Macaca fascicularis: one gene and its partners. The protein of the gene in region 3 interacts with the protein of the main gene of each other region in a biochemical or structural test. Links are inferred from orthologs where the notes say so. Each region holds a gene or a part of one and is shown on either strand. Other genes may lie near its edges.

The links.
Region 1: the proteins of LRP1 (region 3) and APOE form a complex in vitro, tested with the Homo sapiens proteins (2 studies listed by IntAct, with this or other methods). The link is inferred for Macaca fascicularis from reciprocal best matches to the Homo sapiens genes LRP1 and APOE.
Region 2: the proteins of LRP1 (region 3) and DAB1 form a complex in vitro, tested with the Homo sapiens proteins (2 studies listed by BioGRID). The link is inferred for Macaca fascicularis from reciprocal best matches to the Homo sapiens genes LRP1 and DAB1.
Region 4: the proteins of LRP1 (region 3) and PLAT form a complex in vitro, tested with the Homo sapiens proteins (2 studies listed by BioGRID). The link is inferred for Macaca fascicularis from reciprocal best matches to the Homo sapiens genes LRP1 and PLAT.

Annotation. Positions count from the first base shown.
Region 1 is NC_088393.1:52,937,055-52,943,090, reverse strand, and holds the start of APOE (apolipoprotein E), read right to left. Parts: upstream 3,595-6,036; 5' UTR 3,549-3,594; intron 2,778-3,548; 5' UTR 2,755-2,777; coding exon 2,712-2,754; intron 1,271-2,711; coding exon 1,078-1,270; intron 460-1,077; coding exon 1-459. UniProt on the Homo sapiens protein: APOE is an apolipoprotein, a protein associating with lipid particles, that mainly functions in lipoprotein-mediated lipid transport between organs via the plasma and interstitial fluids.
Region 2 is NC_088375.1:176,440,154-176,446,088, reverse strand, and holds the start of DAB1 (disabled homolog 1), read right to left. Parts: upstream 3,595-5,935; 5' UTR 3,334-3,594; intron 1-3,333. UniProt on the Homo sapiens protein: Signaling adapter of the reelin-mediated signaling pathway, which regulates the migration and differentiation of postmitotic neurons during brain development.
Region 3 is NC_088385.1:63,998,350-64,003,597, reverse strand, and holds part of LRP1 (prolow-density lipoprotein receptor-related protein 1), read right to left. Parts: intron 5,206-5,248; coding exon 5,015-5,205; intron 4,301-5,014; coding exon 4,117-4,300; intron 3,974-4,116; coding exon 3,888-3,973; intron 3,728-3,887; coding exon 3,608-3,727; intron 3,114-3,607; coding exon 2,926-3,113; intron 2,805-2,925; coding exon 2,599-2,804; intron 2,081-2,598; coding exon 1,892-2,080; intron 1,424-1,891; coding exon 1,275-1,423; intron 860-1,274; coding exon 766-859; intron 612-765; coding exon 495-611; intron 277-494; coding exon 157-276; intron 1-156. UniProt on the Homo sapiens protein: Endocytic receptor involved in endocytosis and in phagocytosis of apoptotic cells. Required for early embryonic development. Involved in cellular lipid homeostasis.
Region 4 is NC_088382.1:45,723,596-45,729,350, forward strand, and holds the start of PLAT (tissue-type plasminogen activator), read right to left. Parts: upstream 3,595-5,755; 5' UTR 3,375-3,594; intron 1-3,374. UniProt on the Homo sapiens protein: Converts the abundant, but inactive, zymogen plasminogen to plasmin by hydrolyzing a single Arg-Val bond in plasminogen.

The DNA.
Region 1 (6,036 bases), on a different chromosome or scaffold from region 3:
AGCCGCTCACCCAAGGCCTGGGCCCGCTCCTGAAGCGGCTGGCTGGCCAGGGAGCCCACAGTGGCGGCCCGCACGCGGCCCTGCTCCACCAGGGGTCCCAGGCGCTCGCGGATGGCGCTGACCCCGCGCTCGGCGCCCTCGCGGGCCCCGGCCTGATACACTGCCAGGCGCTTCTGCAGGTCATCAGCATCGCGGAGGAGCCGCTTGCGCAGCTTGCGCAGGTGGGAGGCGAGGCGCGCCCGCAGCTCCTCGGTACTCTGGCCCAGCATGGCCTGCACCTCGCTGCGGTACTGCACCAGGCGGCTGCGCACGTCCTCCATGTCGGCACCCAGCCGGGCCTGCGCCGCCTGCAGCTCCTTGGACAGCCGTGCCCGCGTCTCCTCCGCCACCGGGCTCAGCTGTTCCTCCAGTTCCGATTTGTAGGCCTTCAACTCCTTCATGGTCTCGTCCATCAGCGTCCTGCAGCCGAAAGAGCAGGAGGGTGTGCGCACAGGGGGAGGCGAGAAGGGCTGGGATAGGTGTGGGTGAGATGGGGATCAGCCAGAGAGACCCGAGAAGGAAGAGAGGAGAGTCTCCTAAGGAGAACAGGGAGAGACAGAAGGGCAGTGAACCAAGAGAGAAGGAAGGGGACAGAGGCAGAGAGGAGACAAAGACAGACGCAGAGAGCAGAGGCAGAGACGAAGAAAGAGCTAGGAGGCCGGGCAAGGTGGCTCATGTCTCTATTCCCAGCACTTTGGGAGGCGAGGTGGGAGGATCGCTTGAGCCCAGAAGTTCAAGACCAGCCTGGGCAACACAGTGAGACCCCATCTCTCTGTCTCTATATAAAAGAGCTAGTGAAGGACAGAGACAGAGCCAGGACGAGTGTGAGAGGCTGAGTCAGAAGGGAAGAGGGAGAAACAGAACTGAGAGAGAGAATTCCAGAGAGCTAAAGCCAGGAGTCAGAAATGGGAAGAGGAAGCTAGAACCAGCAGAGACCCAGGACTCCCAAGACTTAGTGGCAGGGGCAGAATGAAACCTGGACCTGGGGAGGTATAGCCGCCCACCAGAAGGGTCAAGGGCCGGGATGGGGACACTCACGTCAGTTCCTGGGTGACCTGGGGGCTGAGCAGCTCCTCCTGCACCTGCTCAGACAGTGTCTGCACCCAGCGCAGGTAATCCCAAAAGCGACCCAGTGCCAGCTCCCAGGGCTGGCCGCTCTGCCCCTCAGCCTGCTGGCGAAGCTCGGGTTCCGTCTCTGGCTCCACCGGTTGCTCCACCTTGGCCTGGCATCCTGTGTGGAACAAGTTGAAGGTGGTTCAGGTTCCTTCTGACCCCGTCCAGGCACCTAGTACCTAGGGGCACACAGAAGGTGCTCCACAAATGCTGCTTTGGAGCCATGGTGGGCAGGGTGAGGGGGGAGTCTGTTTAATCACTTGAAAAGCGTTATTTATTTACAGACAGGGTCTTGCTCTGTCACCCAGGCTGGATTGCAGTGGCCTGAACGTGGTTCACTGCAACCTTGACCTTCTGGGCTCAAGCAATCCTCCTGCCTCAGCCTCCTGAGTAGCTGGGACCACAGGTGTGTGGCACCAGGCCTGGCTAATTTTTGTATTTTTAGTAGAGACAGAGTCTCACTATGTTGCCGAGTCTGGTGTTGAACTCCTGGGCTCAAGTGATCCTCCCACCTTGGCCTCCCAAAATGCTGGGATTACAGGGGTGAGCCACCGTGCCTAGCGGAAAAGCATGTATTGAGTGTCCTTGTGTGTCCCAGGCAGGGCTGTGTGGGGTGATGGAGAATAAAGATCACAGCTGTCCCGTGTCTGGTATTCTAAAGCAATGCATTAGAAGCCTCTTAACTCCCAGCTGGGCGCGGTGGCCCACGCCTGTAATCCCAGCACTTTGGGAGGTTGAAGCAGGCAGATCACCTGAGGTCAGGAGTTCCAGACCAGCCTGGCCAACATGGTGAAACCCCGTCTCTACTAAAAATACAAAAAAAGTTAGTCAGGTGTGGTGGCATGTTCCTGTAGTCCCAGCTACTCCGGAGGCTGAGGCAGGAGAATGGCATGAACCTGGGAGGGGGAGCTTGCAGTGAGCTGAGATCCTGCCACTGAACTCCAGCCTGGGAGCCACCGCACTCCAGCCTGGGCGACAGAGGGACTTCATCTCAAAACAAAACAAAAACAAACAAAAACTTCTAACTCCTATATTAAGGATGGGGAGGCCGGGCGCGGTGGCTCACGCCTGTAATTCCAGCACTTTGGGAGGCCAAGGCGGGCAGATCACGAGGTCAGGAGATAGAGACCATCCTGGATAATACAGTGAAACCCCTTCTCTACTCAAAGTACAAAAAATTAGCCGGGCATGGTGGCGGGCGCCTGTAGTCCCAGCTACTCGGGAGGCTGAGGCGGGAGAATAGCGTGAACCCGGGAGGCGGAGCTTGCAGTGAGCTGAGATTGTGCCACTGCACTCCAGCCGGGGCGACAGAGTGAGACTCTGGCTCAAAAAAAAAAAAAAAAAAAAGCGGGGGCAGGAAACCGAGGCTCACAGAGCGTCAAATCGCTGTTCTGAGCCAGAAAGCAGCATAGAAGCCTCAGACCTGGGCTTTCCCCTCAAGGGGAAGACAGACCAGCAGAAGAAGAGGGGGCCCGAGGTCTGCCTGAATGGGGCCAGGAGGTTGAGGTGAGGATGAGAGGGGGAGGAGCAGGGAAACCGAGCAAGCCCCGCCCCCATACCTGCCAGGAATGTGACCAGCAACGCAGCCCACAGAACCTTCATCTTCCTGCCTGTGATTGGCCAGTCTGGGGAGGGAGAAACAGTCAATCAACCGCCAGTGAGGACTCCTCCCACTCCCAGCCCGACCCCAACCCGGCCCCACCCCAGGTTAGCCTTCCAAGCCTAGTTCCATTATCTGCAACAGCCTAATCCTAGCACAAACAGTTACCAAGCCGCCCCCAACCCATTCCCTATTTAACTCCCTCCTGGTCTTCTCTTATTTCCCCATCCCCAGGTCGGCCTCCATAGTCAAAATTCCATCTTTCTCTCCCGGGGTTCAAATTCCACACCCCCTCCCCCTCCCCACCGCCGGTTCCATCTCAGTCCCAGTCTCGCATTCCTCATTCTCCCTTCACATTCTAAGCTCTAACCTCACATTTAAGCGCCGTTTTCCATTTATGAGCTAATTCAGTCCTCATTTTAAAGTTCTCCAATCGACGGCTAGCTACCGTGTCGCTGCCCCTGGCTTCCCTGTTATGGAGATCTGAGGACACTGGGGACACCCAGTAGGTGCTCGATAAATGACAGTGACAACTCGTGGGGGTCCTGCTGTGGCTTAGCTCCTAGTCCACATGCTCTGCCCACCCCACCTTCTAGCGGGTCGGGTCGTCTCTGCTGCCCAGCCCTTACCAGGTCCAGTCCCCTGCTGCTGGCCTCACCCCCGCTCCTCCTATCCCCAAGCCCGACCTCGAGTAGCTCTCCTGAGACTACCTGGAGGCCAGGGCTTCCCGAGGTCCCAGCTACATCTTTCTAGAGGCGCCTGAGCTCATCCCCGTGCCCCCGACTGCGCTTCTCACCGGCTCCTGGGGAAGGACGTCCTTCACCTCCGCTGGGGCTGAGTAGGACTCAAGGATCCCAGACTTGTCCAATTATAGGGCTCCCCCTGTCCCGCCCCCTCCTCCAGGGATAGGGCGGGCTGGGCCAGCCCCCAGTCACGAGGTGGGCTGTTCTCCCCCTGCCCCAGGCACAGCAGGGCAGAGGGAGGAGGTGGGGCATAGAGGCCTTTTGACCACCCCCCACAGTCCCCAGGAAGTGAGGACACCTCGCCCAGTAATCCAGACACCCTCCTCCATTCTGGGGGCCAAGCGTGGAAGGGGAATGTGCAGGCTGCCGCCCAGAGTCCTCCTTCCCTGACCCTGTCCTTTCCTGTGCCTGGATGAATGCAATCTGGAGAGGGGGCTGGGGATCTGGACTCCTAGATCCCAGAAAGAAAGTAGGGATAGGGGGCTGGACAGAAGTGGGATGGGAGGGGCTGGGCGCGGTAGCTCACGCCTGTAATCCCAGCACTTTGGGAGGCCACGGTGGGCGGAACACTTAAGGTCAGGAGTTTGAGACCAGCCTGGCCAACATGGTGAAACCCCATCACTACTAAAAATACAAAAATTAGCCAGGCGTGGTGGCGGGCGCATGTAATCCTAGCTACTTGGGAGGCTGAGGCAGGAGAATCACTTGAACCCAGGAGGTGGAAGTTACAGTGAGCCGAAGTCTCGCCACTGCACTCCAGCCTGAGCAAGAGTGATGCTTTCTAAAAAGAAAAACAAAAAAAGAAAAAGAAAAAAGAAAAGAAAGTGGGGCTAGGCGACTGGACAGAAGTGGGATGGGAGGGGGGTGGGAACAGTGTGGTGCATCTGCTAAAAGTCTAGGCTTTGCGAGTGGGACCTGGGTTTTAATCATAGCTTCCTCTTTGGTTGTGACCTTGAGCACAGGGGACCCACCCCTCCCCACGTGTAAAATGAGATTCCAGCACCTCCCCCTGGCTGCCACAGGCATTGTGGTTTCCAGGGTCTTGAAGCTGTGCTTCTGGGTTAAGGTTAGGATTCTGGAGTCAAACTGCCAGGGCTTGAATCCTGACTCTGCCAGTTGCCAGCTGTGTGACCTTGGGCAAATGACTTGTCCTCTCTGAGCATCGGGTTCCTTTGCTCATCAGACTGGGAAAGCAGTGACACGGATATGTTTGGTGACAAGCTAACGTGTATGGAGCACGGAGGACAGCCTTGGCACAGTGGTCCTGTTAGGGCTAGCAATGGACAGGCCGCAGTGAGCGCTCAGATGCTGTCCCTTTCCTAACAGCCCTGTTATAAATCCCAGATGTTTCAGAGGAGAAACCCGCGGTTCAGCAGCGAGATGAATGGCAAAGTCACACATCGAGAACTGGAGTGGGTGGGATCAGAGGATTCTGCGAGTCAGGGGAGGCTGGACTCCTGGTCCCGGTAAGGAACCCCCAGTGCCAGGCCGGGCCTGTTTGCTTTGGCTGGCAGGGGGTGGCTGAGGTAGCTTCTGTGGGTAACTTGGGGTCAGCTCTACTCAGCAGCCTCCCTCCCTAGACCCTGGGGGTAGACAGGGTTTCAGTTCCCGGAGGCTCGGGAGTGGTGCTGGTGGTGTTGGGTGTCAGCTGACACCAGCCCTAGGTTGGCAAAATCCAGACAGCACCACATCCTCAGACATAGGTGACCCAACCCCCATGGCTGCACAAGGAGCCTAGTCTGGCCTAGGCCCCTCCTCTCATGCCTGCAAGTCCTTGAGCCCCTTCTTCCCGACACAGCAGTTCCTAGTACCCTAGTTGTTCTGAAGCTGTTCCAGTAGCTTGAACCTTCTCCCAGCTCCCTGCCCCCCCATGTCTGCACTCAGAGTGTGTCATCTCTGCTGCTGCAGTTTGCAGGGACAAAGTCTTCTATAGCCACTCCGGCCAGGTCAAGCTGGGGCGAGTGACCTTGAGACCCTACCCTCGGACGACAGAAGGCCCGAGGTGTCCCCCAGCAGGGAAGATGTTCCGGATGGGGAGACCGCGATCCCGGGCCACGCTGCGCCCCTCTGAGCCGGACTCAATGCAGCGTCAAGCCAGGCAGTGGTGCGGCTCCGCTGCTTTCCGTGCTCCGGCCCTCTGGCGCCCCCTGCAGGCGGCCGGGGGAAGGTCAGGGCGGCCGGACTCTGGATGAAATGCTCCAAACAGGCCAGGCACACTTGAGAAAACGGAGGCCTCCCATCTTTTTTTTTTCCCACATATATTTTTTGTTGTTTTTTGTTTTTTTCTGTAAAATGTCCCGGTTCTTCCATAACTTATAAACATGATTTATACCGAGGAGTAGATGGGAAAGTGGACAGGGCAGGGTGGACTGACAGGGGATGGGGAAGCTCCTCTCGCTGCCCCCTCGGGGCGGGCCCAGGCCCTTTGGAGGATGGGGACGCCAGGACACTCCTCCCTGAGGTTGTCTGGCCGCCTCTGCCCCTGGTGCTCAGAATCCTGCGTGCCCCTCAATTCCGGAATCCTTCCCGGGACCCCAGGCC
Region 2 (5,935 bases), on a different chromosome or scaffold from region 3:
GGGTGTGAGGGTAGTGTGGGTGTATGGTGTGAGCATGTGTGTGTGTTGTGTGTCACAAGAACATGAGGAGGGAGTAAGACTGCTAGATAGTGAAAGGTCTTGAAGTCCAGAGTCAGGAATTTGAACAGTATGCCTTGGGCAATAGGGAGCACTTTATGTTTTTGACCTGGGAGTAACATGATCAAAGCCATGTTCTAGAAAGATGTGTCACATCTGTGGAAGGGCCCATACTGAAGGCCAGGAGATGAGCTGGGAGGCTCTGAGGATGGGCCAGAACAGGGGCAAGGAGGCTGGAGAGGAGAAAATTAATTGAAATCATTTTGTCATCACTGCTAGTTCTGGGTGGCATGTAAGGGTGTTTACTATTCATTTTTCATTCCCCCCCGCCCAGGTTAAATAAATAAATAAATGATACATGATTGTAAAAGTTGTCCATTCGATGGAAGACAGGTCTCAAAACAACAACAACAAAAAACACCTCCTCCAAAGTTGTTGAGAAACCCAGTCTGTCCAAATGGAGTACCCAACTTGATCCAAGCAAGAGCACACTCTCCAGGTTATACAAAGCACGTCTGCTAGGCAAACAGCTCCCCTCCCAGCACCAACACCACACCAGCAACTGGAGTCTCCAGTCATGGATGAATGGAGAAAACGAGTTCATGACTTTCTGTGGTACAATGTGTATTTCATAAATAATTGCCTTATTATGTCAAAGCTAAGTTCCAGGCTGCAAGTCTACCTGGAATGTGTCCTGTGCAGTTTGAGATTTTCCTTTACATTTTTTCTAAGCTAGATGGTAAGACTGGTCTTGCTTCATGTGGGCTCTAATCGCTCCCTCTTAGGGCTAGTATTTCCCTCGCTGCTTTTCTTTCCCTTCCTGCATCTCTCCCTTCTTCTCCTCACCACCAACCTCCCCAACCCCCAACCCCCAACCTAGTTCTCTGTCTCTGCTTCCTCTTTCCCACTGTCTGGTTGCATTTGAAGACTTAAGCTATCTCTGTCTCTCTATATCTCTTAGCTCTGCCCCCCACTCACTCCTTCCTTTGCCTCTTCCCCTCTCTTCTTTCTTCTCTCCCTCTATTCTCACTCTGCATCCCTTCCCGGTATGTACAAAAGATTCCATTTTTAAAAAGGAGCAAGGCTTTTGCTTGCACAAGAATCTGATCCACAAATGTGGTCACTGTAAGGCAACTAGCTGAGTCCAGATTCAAGAAAAGAAAAATCTTGTCAAAGAGAGAGTGCTGAATGGTGGCCATTCATTTTGAGGGAGGCGGGTGAATCCTGTGGCTCCCAGTTGTCCCTGCACACCAGTATCACCAGGCAGTCTTCCAGCTGGGAAATCCCTATTTGCCAATAAGCCCTGGCCAGCCCCCATTCCTTTCCACTAGGAGCGAGGTGGCACTGTTGCTGTCACATTGCGTGTACTGCTCCAGCTACTCCTTCCGCTCAGCTGAGAAAAAGAAAAAGCCATAAAATTCAGAACCAGCTAATGTCAGCACTGCAGGGGATTTCAGAGATCCCTTGGTCCAACCCTTGTCAGGTCACTGGTGGAGAGACTGGGGCCCCATGTCACTAAATGCCAGGGAGATCTATTATTAGAAAACCCAGACCTAGGACCTGTTGCAAAAATCCCTCTGCCCTGGGAACACCTCTAGATTTTGAACAGAATCTTAACAGAAATCTACTATCTAGCATCCGAATGTATAAAGAGATAGAAGCAGCTTAAAATAGAGACAGAAAGAGGTTCAAATGCACATGGTGCAGGTACGAAATTCACTACATGTTCCCTGCACGAAGGATTTGGGCAGGGAAGTGTGTGGAAGATGGGGCTGCAGTGGTAGAGGGCTCCAAGCTCTGAAGACCTTTTTAATATGGCTGTATTGTAATACTGCAGTGCCAAACCCCACCAGTCATTCCAAAAGCAAAAGGAAGCCCCGCTCTGCAGCAGAACTTCCCAGGCCTGGAAACAGATTGTCTTTCTTTTGCACCCATTTAATAACCGCTGTATTTAACATGATCACGGGAAATGTGCATCCTCGGAAGGCACAGTAAGGAACCTCGGTCTGCAACGACGCGATTCCTCGGACACGAAACTAAAATGCATTCATTGGAACTCAGCCTCCCAAAGCGGAAGCAAAAACACAGCAAGGCGATTTACAGGCAAGAGCCCCTCTGAAAGAGAGGAGAGGAGGGGGCTTGGAAAGCAAGGGGACACACCTTTTCTGAGCTGTTCGAAACAGGCTGCCTGCAAAGTCCACCCATACTGTGCTGCCAAGGGTTAATTTTATCGGCAAAAATTGGTACACACACACACAAACTCCTACTGCACCCCCACAACCTCAGCCACCACCACATAGTTGGATCTTTTTAATCTTAAATTCTCAGAAATTCCCTGATCAGCCCTATCTTTTCGGAACAGCCCCTCCACCTGGGCTGGATTCCCACCTCATCATCAGTGAAAGCCCAGAGAGCCGGGCATAATTATTTTCCTACAAGGTTATGCCTAATTGGCCACTAACCTAATTGATTAATCATCTTATTTTTCAAAGCAGCATCAAAGAGCCAAGCTGAGAGGGCAGAAAGAAAGCATGCGTCCAGATGGCGCGAGGGTTAAAATTACAGACTTTGGGTAAGACCCCTGGCCAGCTTGCCTGGTTTCTAGATACAGAAGTGGACAAAAAAGAAATGAAAACGCGGACTGAGCGAGGAAATGCGCAAGATCACAGAAGGACTGAACCTGCCGGGAACCTCAAGGCTACCCAGCTAGCCCGAGTCCAGTCGTCGACGCGGATGAAGTTGTTTCCTCGGAACAGAAAGGGTTAAATGGCTGCGCGTCAACTCGGCCTCAGCTGGGGTGTCAGGGAGCAAGAGCCGCTTGGCTCGGGCGATTCCGCGTGGTGGGGGAAGCCCGAGGGTCGCCCTGGCGCTCCGGCCACAACTTGGCCGGCTCGGTGCGGCAGCCCTCGCCTGCGCCTTTGCGCGCCACCCAAAACTTTGCGCACACTGCAGCCGCCGCCTGCCCACTCTGCGCGGTGAGACGCGCGCCGCCAAGCGCCGCGGGCAGCCCTCCGCAGCCGCCGCGGCAGCCGTTGCCTGGCTTCTGGCTCCAGACTTTTCCCCTGCTGCCTCCAGTTCCCACCCAGGAGGCTCTCTCGCGGCCGCGAGACCGCGGCGCCCAACCCACAGTGGGCAGTGCGGGCGCAGCGTTGCAGACCACCACCTCGCCGGGTGCGGGCAGCGCCCACTGGACGGATGGGCCCCCGCGGCCGCCCCTACCCCGGCGCGCCCACCTCGAGCCTCCCACGCCGCGGCGGGCGCAACATCTTTTCCTACCTCCAGCCGCCGAGGACCACACTCTCCGCTCAGCCCTCTCGACTCATCCTCCGGCTGCAGTAGAGGACGAGCGGGCTCCGCTTTTGTTCCCTGGGGCTGGCAGGTCCGTGTGGGGCCAGGGCGCGCGGGAGATGCCGCGGAGCTGGGTATCCCGGAGAGGGGATGCTCACTCCCAGCAGCTCCGCTGGCAGCAGTAGTGGTGGTGGCAGCAGAGGCAGCGGCAGCAACAGCAGAAGCAGCAGCAGCAGCAGTAGAGATAGTGCCGGCTCTCTGCAGGCCACATCTTTCATACCTTATACATCACTACCGCATTCCCCCGAATAGGGGAGCCCCTCAGCATTTCGCTACCTAGCGCGGAATGCTGTTGCCCGAAGAGGTGGCGCGGCCTGACCGACCTGGCCTGAATGTGAGCTCTGAGTGGGAAGGACCTCAGCACCCACTCGCAGACTCCCTTCTCTGCTACGGTCACAGTGAGGTCTACAACTTGCAGCCATTCTGCAGTCTTCACCGTTTGCGGTGCTCAGTGTCTGCTCCCCTGGGAAGTATGGGCTTCGGGTTAAGCAAAAGTGATTTACTAGGGAGAGCCCTCTCTGAGCTGCCTCTAGGGTCTTGGCCTGCATGTGCTTTTACACAGCCTCCTCCTTCTTGCGGTGTTCACAGGTGCAAGATTTTGCAGCAGCAGACACACACTCTCCTGCAGGTACATAAACCCCTGAGACATGTTATGCACACCCCACAATCAAGTGTGTGGGCACTGAAGCAGACAGACCAGGGTTTCGGTTGTATCTGTGTGGTCTTATCAAACGACCAAATGATTGAGCTTCCATTTCTTCATCTACAAAATGGGAACCATATGTCTCATAGAATTGTGATAATCACATGAGACAAGCACAGAGCTTGACACATGGTAAGTGATAGCAAAACATGAGTTTTTCTTCCTTCATCTGACGCAGGTCTGCCCTTCTTGAGGTAATTATATATCAGTAACAATTCACTCATCAATAAATATTTTTGTGTGCTTACTATGAGCCAACCTCTACTTTATGGAGACGGGCAGAACATTCAAAAGAACACAGACAAGTAATTTTTATTCTCTTGTAACCTGCTCTCTAGTAAGGCGGAAAATAAACAAGTAAATCAGCAAGAAGCTATTGGATAGTAATTATCACTATTGACCAAAATTTAAGTAGATGACGACATGTGATAGAAAATGACTGGGGTAGGACATCAGGCTGGGCGTTTGGGAAACAGCCCTCTAAGCACATGACCACTGATCTGAGGTCTGTATGATAAGGAACCAGTCATTAGAAATAGTGAGAACAAGTGCCAAGGCCCTGAAGAAGGAACAGGTTGAATGTGTTTGAATAGCAGGAGGAAGGAAGTGTGGCTAGAATGTAGCAAGAGTGATGAGTTGGTGACATGAGATTAGGTGCAGAGGGAAGCTGGTCTTATGGGGAAAGATCAGTAAGGGAAATTGATTTGATGCCAAGTTTGGAGTTTTGGGGGTTAAATAGAGATGTCACAGTTACAGGATTGGAGACAGTGTGATTTTTATTTGTAAAAGCTCACTCCAGCTGCTGTGCAGAGAATGTACTGAAGGGGGCATGAGTGGAAGGAGAGGATCCAATCAGAGTGTCCCACAGTGCTGAATAAAAGTCCCTTTCAAGTCCCTGACCTCCACAACCACAACAACTTCCCCTCTGCCTGTAGTTCCACTAGGAAAAAGGCCACTGCACAGCTACCCTGGAAGCCTGGGTATGAGTTTCTCCTACCACTCTCTGAGTATCCTTTTCCTTAACTGGAAAATATAAATAATAACATATATATTCTCATAAAATTATTGTGAGGATGAAATGTGACAAGGAAAGCACCTAAGGGGCTAAATGACCATTAATTTCATGTTCAACATTTCTCTACTTTCAGGTTTTCAAGGAGCCTCTGGAGTGCTCCTACAACCCTTCTGTCCTGTCCAGGATCAGGCAGGGGTTGCCTGTTTGTTGAATCCACGAAGAGCTTCTCTCAGCATCTGGGATGCTTGCATTTGTAATGCCAGCCCCTGAACACATCTGTCTTTTTCTCAAGCAGGAAACATTTCGAGCAGGAACGATTTTCATTTTGTTTAGGTCCTTTCGATTTTTTTCTGTCTGCCACCCTCATCTAGTTTGAAGCATGCAGGACATCATCATATAAACCACTCAAGGTATAAAAATAGAAAGGAAAACAGAGCTGTTGGGGGATGTGTAGAGCCAGAGATGGCAAGAAAGGAAAACAGACAGTCCTTTCTCTCTTAGCAACAGGAGGAAAGGTTCTCAGCTGAGACACGTGATAATTTCTGATATCAGTATAGTGTAACAGATTCCAGAGGCCTCCAGGATCATGCTCCCCACTGCTACCACGGAAACTCAATGAGATAAAATAGGCATGATTTGATATTGCCCCCCTTTGACAGATGAGAAAGCTAAACCCCAGACAGGTGAAGTAGCAGAGCTGGAACTTGGACCCAGGTGCTCTTGACTTTCTCCTTCTCTATGCCCAGGTGCTTCAAATGACCCCAACCTTAATGGTGTTGCCTAATTCTCAGGGCCCCAAAGCACTTATCCAA
Region 3 (5,248 bases):
TGATTTTTATGAGCAAAGCAAGTTACACCCAATATAATTTGTGTTGCCCATCTACTAAAGCTATTTGAGAGCCTCTCAAAGCTGTGGGGGGGATTCTGCCTGCCCTGCTTCCATGTCATCTCCCACCGCTGCCCCACCACCACCTCTGGCACTCACGGCAGTCCCTCTCGTCCTCCCCGTCTCCGCAGTTGTCCTGCCCGTTGCAGCGGAAGATGCCGGGAATACAGCGGTTGGTGTTGGTACATTTGAACTGACTGGGCAAGCAGACGTGGATGTCTGTGGGGGGAGGACGGAGTGACTCGTGGCGAAGGGAGGATTCAGGGGCAGGGAGAGGGTGCCCATCCCTCAGCAGGGAGGACAAAGGCTTGAGCCGCAGGAATCCAGCCTAGAGAGCAAGCTGCCATGGGCTGCAGCTTCCCTGTCCTTGAGAGCCCCAAATCCTGGGGCGGGGAAGATGCTGGGGAAGGAGGGAGGGCGGCCAGGCAGTGCTTTACCACAGTTGGCCTCGTCACTGTTGTCCTGGCAGTCATTGTCTCCATCGCAGATGAAGGCAGGGTTTGTGCAGATGCCTGTGGAGCACTGGAACTGTCCGGGCCGGCACTTGAACTCGGCTGCCAGAGAGGGAGGCTCAGGGTCAGAGTGGCTGGGGTGGACACGGCCAGGTCCACTTGCAGCCACAGCCTCCAGTGGCCATTCAAAGCCTCAGGAGTCAGGCCGCCTCTGACACAGCTGGGGACCCTTGTGTCACCCCCAGCAGGCACTCACGGCAGTCCGGGGGCTCATCTGAGTGGTCCCCGCAGTCGTCCTCGGTGTCACACTTCCACCAGAAGGGGATGCACTTGTCGTTCTTGCACACAAACTGGAGGGCAGGCGGGGGCAAGAGGGGTTGGTGGGGATCTGGGAGACTCAGAAGTCCTTCTTTTGAGGGGGTTGGATGTTTCAAAGAAGTTGAGGCAGGGGTCAGGGTGTTCTGGGGCAGGTTGGGCTATGGTGAGTGCAGAAAGGCCAGGTGTGGCGCTGTGTGGGGTAGGGTGGGGAAGGCAGCACTGGAGCATGGCGAGGAGGGTCAAGGTTAGGGTGTGGAGGTATCTGTGTGAGGTGACGGGGGTAAAAGTATTGCTGTGGGGAGACAAGAGGTAGGCAAGAAATGTGGGGGTGTTAGCGTGGGAAAACCAGATGTGTGAGGGCATTAGGACAGAGCAGGTGTTGGGGTCCAAGGAGGATTGGGGGTCAGGGAGTGGGCACTGGTGATGGGATCTGGGGGACAGCCTCACCTGGCTCGCTGTGCAGTTGGACACACAGGTGCGCCCATCGCTGCCCAGGTAGAAGTTGGTGGGGCAGGCACATTTGTGCCCTCCCCCGGGGGACAGCAGGCACAGGTTGCTGCAGCCACCATTGTTGACCTTGCAGGGGTGATTGGGCACTGCCAGAGAAAACGTCGTGAAATGTGGTGACATTTCCTGCCTTACCAAAGGCTGCCTCTATCACTCCATCCTGGACAGAGGTGAGTGGCCTAAACTCTGCCTCTTTTAGGAGGGAGCTGAAGCCAGAGACAGGAGAGGATTCTCTCAGGGTCCCCGGATCAGGCCAGGCCTGAAGGCCAGCTCCCACCTCCTCTGTGCTTCCCCCCCAGGGTCCTTCTGGGGGCCCGGCACCCAGACCCCCCACTTGATTGGCCTCAGGGCCTTGCTGCTGCCAGATTCCAGGACTGGATCCAGGCTTGGCTGAAGCTCCCGGGAGCCAAACCATCCCCTGTCTAGACCCTCCTGGAGTCTCCCAGTGTCTGGCCAGGAGAGGGCTTGGTCAGTGCTGGAGAAGGGATAAGCAGGAACTCCCAGGGACCCCAGTTCCCAGCTCACCCTTCACCTGCTCCCACCCCTTGCCTGCTCACCGTCCGGCTGGCGCAGGGCGTGGAAGACGTGCAGGTCCATGGGCCGGTGCAGCGTGCTGATGAGGAGCGTTTTGTTGGTGCCCGTGGTCTTGTGGGCTCGGTTGATGGACTTTGTTTCCCAGTCGGTCCAGTAGACGTAGTCCTCAAACAGGGTCAGTGCAAAGATGTGCGGGATGTCCTGGCTCAGCACTGTGGGGCCGAGGGGCAGGCACGGTGCCAGTCAGCCTGAGCTCGGACAGGGTGCCAGCCCACTCCACCTCCTCAAGCCCCACCACCACCCTGCGAGGTGGGTGTCAGCCCCAGTTCCAGATGGTTCAGGGGCCCCCCATGGTCTCACAGTTAACAAGTGTCAGAGCTGGAGTTCAAACCTAGACTGCCTCATGGCAAGTTCCTGCCCCGCCAGCGTATGGTTTCCCTTGGGAAGTGGGGAGCACTGCAGCTCCCAATCGCAGGCCTCCCACCCCCACCCTCCTCGGGGCCAGTCCTCCAGAACTGTGTATATAAGGGAAGGGCCTCTCCCTGGGTGGTGGCCAGGCTGGGGAAGCCCCTGGGGTGCTCTGAACCTCACACCCCAGCGAGTGGTGTCCTGAGGCCCTGTCCTCTGCTTTTTATGTCCACTCTTGCCCCCAAAACTTGATCCCCTGTCGCTTCAGACTTCCATCCCCACCGAGTCTGCTGTGCCCGGACAGCCTCACTGGCACACTGACCAACGTGGCGATTGGAGCCATCCAGGCTGGCAAACTCAATGTAGTCCTCGCGGGCGTCAGCCCAGTAGATGCGCTCAGTGACATAGTCCAGCGTCAGGCCGTTGGGCCATGTGATCTTGGTGTCCACAATGACGCTGCGACTGGACCCATCCATGCCGATGCGGCCAATCAGTGAGTGGTCACCCCAGTCTGTCCAGTACAGGTACCTGGCGATGGGTAGGCAGTGAGCCCTGGGAGATCCCATAACCCATCCCACCAGTGGCCTGCAGGGAGGCTGGGCTTGGATGCTGCTTTCAAGGGCTTCCCCACCCCTCCTCAGCCACATACCCATTCTGCACATCCACCACCAGAGCCCTGGGCTCGCGGAGGCCAGAGCTGACCAGCACCGTCCGATAGGCCCCATTGAGCTTGGACACCTCAATGGTGTCCCGGCCTTTGTCGCACCAGTACAGGTTGCCACCCACCCAGTCCACAGCCAGCCCGTCGGGGTTGCTGAGGCCTGTACGGTGTAGGACCTGCAGGAAGGGGCAGGGGAGGGAGAGCTCTGGGTGACCTGGGGGAAGACCTGCAAGCCTCTGTGAAGCTCAGCCTCCCCATGCATAAAATGGGGTAGAGCTCCCTCTGCCAGCTCTGGTGGGAGAACCATGGAAGTAAAATGCCCAGTCCTGGGCCTGACACTATGTACGTGTCAGCAGAGCCTCTAGGAGAGGGGGCTCTAGGTGGGGAATGGGACCACACTCCAAGCCTCACAGTGCTTGGCCAGACCTCAGGGGGAACTTCCTGATAATTAGGGAGACGTGGGGCTAGCAGTGAGGGGAAGAGCAAGAGGAATCTCCTGGTCCTTGCTGTCTGGGCCCAGAGGAGAGTAAGCAGCCAGAACAAGCAGTCATACAGTGACTAGTGGAGTGAGAAGGAAGCAATTTGGGTTGGTGGGACGGGAAGGAGAGACGATCTGAAAACAGCCATCTAGGGTGGGCCAGTGTCGGTCGCTGAGGGCCGCCTGCCTTACCTGCACGTTGCTCCCATTAAGGTGCATCCTTCGGATCATGCTGCCCTGGGTCGTCACATCTGTCCAGTAGATCATTTGCTCTCGGTAGTCAAAGTCCAAGGCAACGGCATTGTTCAGGCCCTGGATTAGGGGAATGAGGGAGAGCAGAAGTCTGTTGTGGCAGCAGGGGCCACATTTACATCTGGGGGAGGGATGGTTGGACCTAAGTGGGGAGACTTGCAAGGGAGGCTGTGCTGGGTCTGGGAGATGGGCAAAGGGGAGGAAGGCCTGGGTTTGGTACCTGCTTAAGTAACGTGTAGTTGGACCCATCCAGGTTGAGCTTGCGTAGGTAGTACCGGTTGGCAAAGATCAGAAACGGTTCCTCGTCTGCAGACAGAGGATCTTGCCTCAGCTCCTGGCACATTCTAGTGGCCCTGGTCTCCTGCCTGTCTGGAGCTCTGCCACCCGGGCGGTCCCACACAGCCCCCAGCTGCCTGGGTCACCTCATGCCCTCCAAGCGTGAATCTCACCAGTCACAGCCTTGCAGCTGTGGGGGTCGCCGCCGCGGGGTGCGTAGCCCTCCACACACAGACACTTATAGCTGCCATGGGTGTTGATGCAGCGCTGGCTGCAGGGGAAGGTGGTGCTGCACTCATCCACATCGGCACATGTCCGGCCGTCGTCCTTCAGCCGGAAGCCAGGGCGACAGCGGCACTGCAGGCACAGGGAGCCTTGGGCTGGGCGTGTGGCAGGGTCTGGGCCTCCCACCCTGGAGACCTGGCTCAGAGACTCCAATTCCTTCTACCCGGCCTCATTAGGGGCAGCAGCACATCGGTACTAAGTCCACCCAGCTGGCTGTCTGGCCTTCGCAGTCCAGGCCTCCTTCTGTGCGCCCCCGAGTGCCATTTGACAGAGCTGCGTGTGCCCTCCCCCTGGAAACGCTTTCTTCTCATGGCTGTTCTCCTGCCTCAGCAGCTGCTCCTTCTCAGGCTCTTCTGCTGGTCCCCTCACCTCCCTGCTCCTGGCTGTTGCTCAGCTTGGGGCTCAGACTTTGGACTGCTCTCTTCTCCACCTACACTGCTCCCTTGGGAATCATATCCAGATTCATAGATCCAAATAGCATCTCTATGGTGATAACTCCCAGACTTCCCTCTCCAACCTGGGCCTCTCCTTGAACTCCAGATCTGTGTATCTCTTGCCTACTTGACGCCTCACTCCTCTTTTCCTCTCACACTCCGTATATCATCTGTCAGCAAATCTGCTGGCTCTCTACCTGCCAGATAGAGGCAGACCCCAACCAAGCAGATTTCCATCTCATTCACTGCTGTATCCCCAGTGTCTAGGGGATGAATGAATGAATGAGGCAGTGGAAAAAGGCGTTCCTGGCACGTCTGGGGTGTGGAAGCTCCTCCCCAGGGCTGGGCATACCTTGAAGCCAATCTTGAGGTCCTCACAGTCCTGGCTGCAGCCACTGAGCTTGTGGCTGAGACACTCGTTGATGTGGCAGCCACGCTCATCCGAGCCGTCACCACAGTCATCCTGGCCATTGCAGAGCAGTACCTCAGCCACACAGCGCCCGCTGCTGCACAGGAACTGAGACGAGGCATTGCACTTGTGCTCTGCAGAGGGGCGGAGACAGCAGGTCAGCAGGGTCTCAGGCAG
Region 4 (5,755 bases), on a different chromosome or scaffold from region 3:
AGCCTGGCCAACGTGGTGAAACCCCATTTCTACTAAAAATACAAAAATTAGCCAGTCTTGGTGGCGGGCACCTGTAATCCCAGCTACTCGGGAAGCTGAGGCAAGAGAATCACTTGAACCTGGGAGGTGGAGGTTGCAGTGAGCCAAGATTGTGCAACAAAAGTGAGACTCCATCTCAAAAAATAATAATAATGTAAACACTACATAGATGTATGGATAGAGATTAGAAGAGAAAATTAGATGTTGGAGTACTGTCATTATTGGTGAATTGTTTTTCAGTTCCTTTAGTGATGCTTCTAAATGGCTTTCATAAAAGTAGACGTACTGGCTCCACACTGGGTGACCAGCCCAACACTCTCTTTCTGGCCCTGGAAGGGCCTGGTTGTTCATGGAAGCATGTCAGAAGAATAGGAATTTTCCTTATTCCTTATGATGGAGTATCCATGAGTTTATTCAAATTATTTTTGAACACATCTCATTTTCAATCAATTCTTTTGTGGAGTGAGTTGAGTTTCTTAGGTTGGTTTGCTGATTCTTCAACACAGAACTTTCTCTGCTCCTAAATCTACCTCTTTTGAGCCTCCTAACACATCCCACATCCCCAGCTATCAATCTTCAAATAAACACCCCCCCCCCCCCCCCGCCAAACCCTGCCCCGAGCTGGTGAATATGCAGGCTACTGGAATGAGCCTGCGCCTGGAAGTCAAAAAGTTTCCTTTCTCTCCTCTGAGGTCAGTTGTGCGACTCTGGGCAAGTCCATTTGCCTTTGCTAAGCTATAGGTTCCTTGCGTTTCAGATAAGAGAAGTAAACTCACAGGATTATTATTTGACTCAAATAGGATACCATGGGAAGGAAAACGCTTTGGGACATGCTATTGGTGACTTAGTAAACTGTTTTATAAACATTTTTTGTAGCTTTGTTCTTTAGCTATATCCATCCTCAGAAGGAAAGAACTTTGCAAGGGAAAGCCTCATACTCTTTTCTCAAAGATGAAGAAAGGAACTTTAAAGAGCCCCTGACTAAAATTTTCTCCAACTGTCTCCTGAGCAACATAGGTCTCACACACGAAAAAGAACCAAGGCTACAAAGTTAAGAATTGGAGAATTCTCTCAGAGCAGTAATTTTTTTGACTATTTAGCTGATATGGTTTGGCTCTGTGTCCCCACCCAAATCTCACCTTTAACTGTAATCCCCATAATCCCTACGTGTCAAGGGCAGGACCAGGTGGAGGTAATTGGATCATGGGGGCGGTTTTCCTCAAGCTGTTCTAGTGATAATGAGTGAGTCTCACGAGTTCTAGTGGTCTTATTATTGTCTGGCATTTCCCCTGCTTGTGCTCATTCTCTCTTCTGCCGCCCTGTGAAGAGGTGCCTTCCTCCATGATTGTAAGTTTCCTGATGGTCTGCCAGCCATGGGGAACTGAGTCCATTAAACCTCTTTTCTTTATAAATTACCCAGTCTCGGGTATTTCTTTACAGCAGCATGAGAACGGACTAATACATTAGCCGAGTAAAATACATTTTTTAAATTCCCATACAAGATAATGATAGGTCTACAACTTTGTTTTGACTGTCTAAAAACTGAAAAACAATAGTAGTTTAAACAAAAAACAATATCACTGCACTAAGTAGAAGATAATAACAGGGGAAACTGCGGAGGGAAGAGAAGGGATAATAATAGGGGAACTCTGTGCTTCCTGTTCAATTTTTCTGTAAACCTGAAACTGCTCTAAGGAATGTCTATTAATTCAAAAAATATTGACAAGATGCAGTGGTTAACATCTATAATCCAAGCACTTTGGGAGGCCAAGACAGGAGGGTTCGCTTGAGTCCAGAAGTTTGAGACCAGTCTGGGCAACAGAGCAAGACCCTGACTCTGAGAAAATATTTTTTAAAAGTCATTCAGGGCTTGAATCTGGGAGGTGGAGGTTACTGTGAGCTGAGATCGTGCCATTGCACTCCAGGCTGGGCAACAAGAGCGAAACTCCGTCTCAAAAAAAAAAAAAAAGAAGAAGAAGAAGCCATTCAGGAGGCTGAGACAGGCAGACCACTTTAGCCCAGGATCCCAGGGCTGCAGTGAGCTATGATCATGCCACTGCAGTACAGCCTGGGCAACAGAGCAAGACCCCAAACTCTAAAAATTAAAAAAAAGAAAGTACTTGCAAATGAAAAATATTATCATTTCTGATATTATAAAATCATATCTATATTTATGTATGCATATTATACATAAGAATTTAATTTTATTTGCAGAAATATTTGGTCTGTGAGAACATTCACTGCCATCTGCTTATTTACATATCCAAGTATATCATAGCTAATGAATATAGGAATTTTATCACAGTCTTATAATTTTAAGGGTGTCTATGGTCAATCTGTTTGGTAAAATTGAGCTACTCTTTATTTAACTTAATTAATTTTGAGACAGGGTCTCACTCTGTTGCCCAGGCTGAAGTGTAGTGGCATGATCTTGGCTCACTGCAACCTCCACCTCCCCGGTTCAAGTGATTCTCTCACCTCAGCCTCCTGAGTAGCTGGGATTACAGGCACTACTTAGCCATGCCTGGCTATTTTTTTTTTTTTTTTTTTTTGATAGAGACAGGGTTTCACCATGTCGGCCAGGCTGGTCTCGAACTCCTGAACTCAAGTTATCTGCCTGCCTCAGCCTCCTAAAGTGCTGAGATTACAGGCATGAACAACTGTGCCCAGCCTACTCCCTATTTTAAACGTGCAAACTCTGCAAAGTGGCTGTGCTGAGGCACTTCCAAATGCCACCCGGCTGGTGCTGGAGTTTTGGTTTCTGCTCTATGGGTCCTTCTTCTTCTGGACCTGGTGCCACCAACCTTTGCAGCCTCCTATGGAGGATGGTGCTTGTTTCCTTTCAGCCTTTCTGGTCATTTCTTTTCTTGTTTTAAAATAACAACACCAGGTCAGGCGAGGTGGCTCACTCCTGTAATCCCAGCACTTTGGGAGGCCAAGGTGGGAGGATTCCTTGAGCCTAGAAGTTTGAGACCAGCTTGGGCAACATGGCGAGACCCCATCTCTACAAATAATTCAAAAATTAGGTGTGGTGGCACATGCCTGTAGTTCCAGCTACTTAGGAGGCTGAGGTGAAAGGATCCCTTGAGCCTGAAATGTTGAGGTTGCAGTGAGCTGTGATCGCATCACTGCACTCCAGCCTGGGAGACAGAGTGAAAGCCTGTCTCTAAAACTAAAAAATAAATAAATAAACAAACAAATAACACTGAAAATAACCAAAACCAAGTGAATATGGATAACTCAATTCCTTCTGACCCCAGGGTGACTCCAGAGTCCCAGGCCATGGCTGCGTCTGGGGTGGGCTCCTTTGGGAGAGTGGCCAAAGCCCTACTCACCTCAGTAATGAGATCACTCAGACCTGGGGGCAGGCGCGTTCCAGGAGAGCATGATGACTTCCGCAGCAGAGGCTCTTGCATCAGTTCTGGTCACCCACGGGAGACTGCATGTGCTCGGGGTGACAGGAACACCACTGTTTACGTGGGACCCACCTCCCGCCATGGCATCACAGGACTCGCCGCCCCGGCCTCCTTCCTGAGTCAAGCATTTTTGTCCAGTGAATACAGCTTTGGTGCAGCTTTCCGTATCTTCTCTCTCCTCCTCGCCACGGGAAGTGACACATATTTTATAGAGCTGTTCTTTTGCTTCATTCTAACTGTACATTTTTTCCTCTGTGAGGAGTTTGCGCCAATCGAAATGAACTTGAGATCATTTTCCCCCCAGCCTGTCTTTATCTAGGGGCACACAGCTTCCTGTCTGATTTTAGTCACCGATTGGATTGATGGGCTTAATCACATTCCAAATGTCCGTTGTCCTATCTCCCTGTGTGTGCAGGACTGGCTCAGTCTGCAGCTTTTATTAGAAATCAACAGAAGCCACCAGAACACAGAGCCCTGAATGAGCACTATGGACCCGAATCATCCGACCTGAACTCCAATGTAGAAGAAAGGCCCTCTGCACGCACCTGCTGACCTGCCTGTCACCACTCTCACAGCTGTGCCGGGACAATGGCACAGACCCACCCATTCCAAAGTTACCATCTGATATGTGTGGGCTCATGCAGAAAGTATGCTATAATGTGAAGACATAAATCAGATGGAAAAACACATTGATGCCAACTTGTTTTTTTTTTTTTTGAGACAGAGTCTTGCTCTGTCACCCTGGCTGGAGTGCAATGATGTGATCTCGGCTCACTGCAACCTCCGCCTCCCGAGTTCAAACGATTCTCCCGCCTCACCCTCCTGTGTAGCCCACTACCATGCCCGGCTAATTTTTGTGTTTTTAGTAGATATGGGGTTTCACCATATTGGCCATGCTGGTCTTGAACTCCTGACCTTAGGTGATCCACCCGCCTTGACCTCCCAAAGTGCTGGGATACAGGCTTGAGCCACTGTGCCCAATGCCAACTTTTAAAAAATGCACACTCCCTCAAAGGGTTAACAGCACAGGAGAGGTTGTTGCTGAAGGTTTGCAAGGTAATTGCTCTGAAATCATATTAGAAACCAAAGCAGTAAGTGTGCTTCCCCAGTAGAGAGTGTTGACAGGGACTTGGGTTTAGAATAAGAAGGAAAGAGTTTCCAGCATGTCAATGGGCACGGTGGCAATGGTTCACGATGGGTCATTGAGTCTAGGCTGACAGAGGGCAAAGGGCTGAAAGATAGGGAGGAGTAGCGCTGAGGAGCTGTGGAGACTCCAGGAGCAGGAGGCAGGGAGCTGGGAGGGCCATCACACACAGCTGTCCCCCTTAACCACAAGGATGTGTTCCAAGATCCCAATGGATGCCTGAATCCATGAGTAGTACCAAGCACTATATATAAAATGCTCTTCCCTATACATCCATACTTAGGATCAAGGTTAATGTGGCCGGGCGCGGTGGCTCATGCCTGTAATCCCAGCACTTTGGGAGGCCGAGGCAAGTGGATCACTTGAGGTCAGGAGTTCGAGATCAGCCTGGGCAACATGGTAAAACCCTGTCTCTACTAAAAATAAAAAACTTAGCCAGGTGTGGTGGCGTGTACCTGTAGTCCCAGCTACTCAGAAGACTGAGGCATGAGAATAACTTGAATCCAAGAGGCGAAGACTGAAGTGAGCCGAGATCGTGCCATTGCACTCCAGCCTGGGCGACAGAGGAACACCGTGTCTCAAAAAAAAATTAAAAAAAAAAAAAACAAACAAAAAAACATGGTTAATGTATAAATTAGGCGTGGCAACAGACTAACAACAACAACCAATAGTAAAATAGAACAATCATATCAAGGTACTATAATAAAAGTTATGTGACTGTGGTCTCTCTCTATATACCACTTTCTCAACTTATTATAGTTCTGAGCTGGGCACGGTGTGGCTCACACCTGTAATCCCAGCACTTTGGGAGGTCAAGGTGAAGGATCGCTTGAAGCCAGGAGTTCAAGATCAGCCTGGGCAACATAGTGAGACCGACCTCATCTTTACAAAAAAGTACAGAAAATTAGCCAGGCATGATGGTTTGCGCCTGTGGTCCAGCTACTTGGGAGGCTGAGGTAAGACGATCTCTGCAGCCCAGGAGGTCAAGGCTGCAGTGAGTGCTATACCACGGGTAGTTACCCTGTGGAAAGTGAAACCACAGATAAGCCAGGGGGGTCACTCTAACATGGAGCAGAGAAGGAAGCAGCGGTGGGGAAATGAAAGTATTCTGAGTCATCAAGGAAGGTGACAGTGATTCCTGATTCTGCATGGCGTG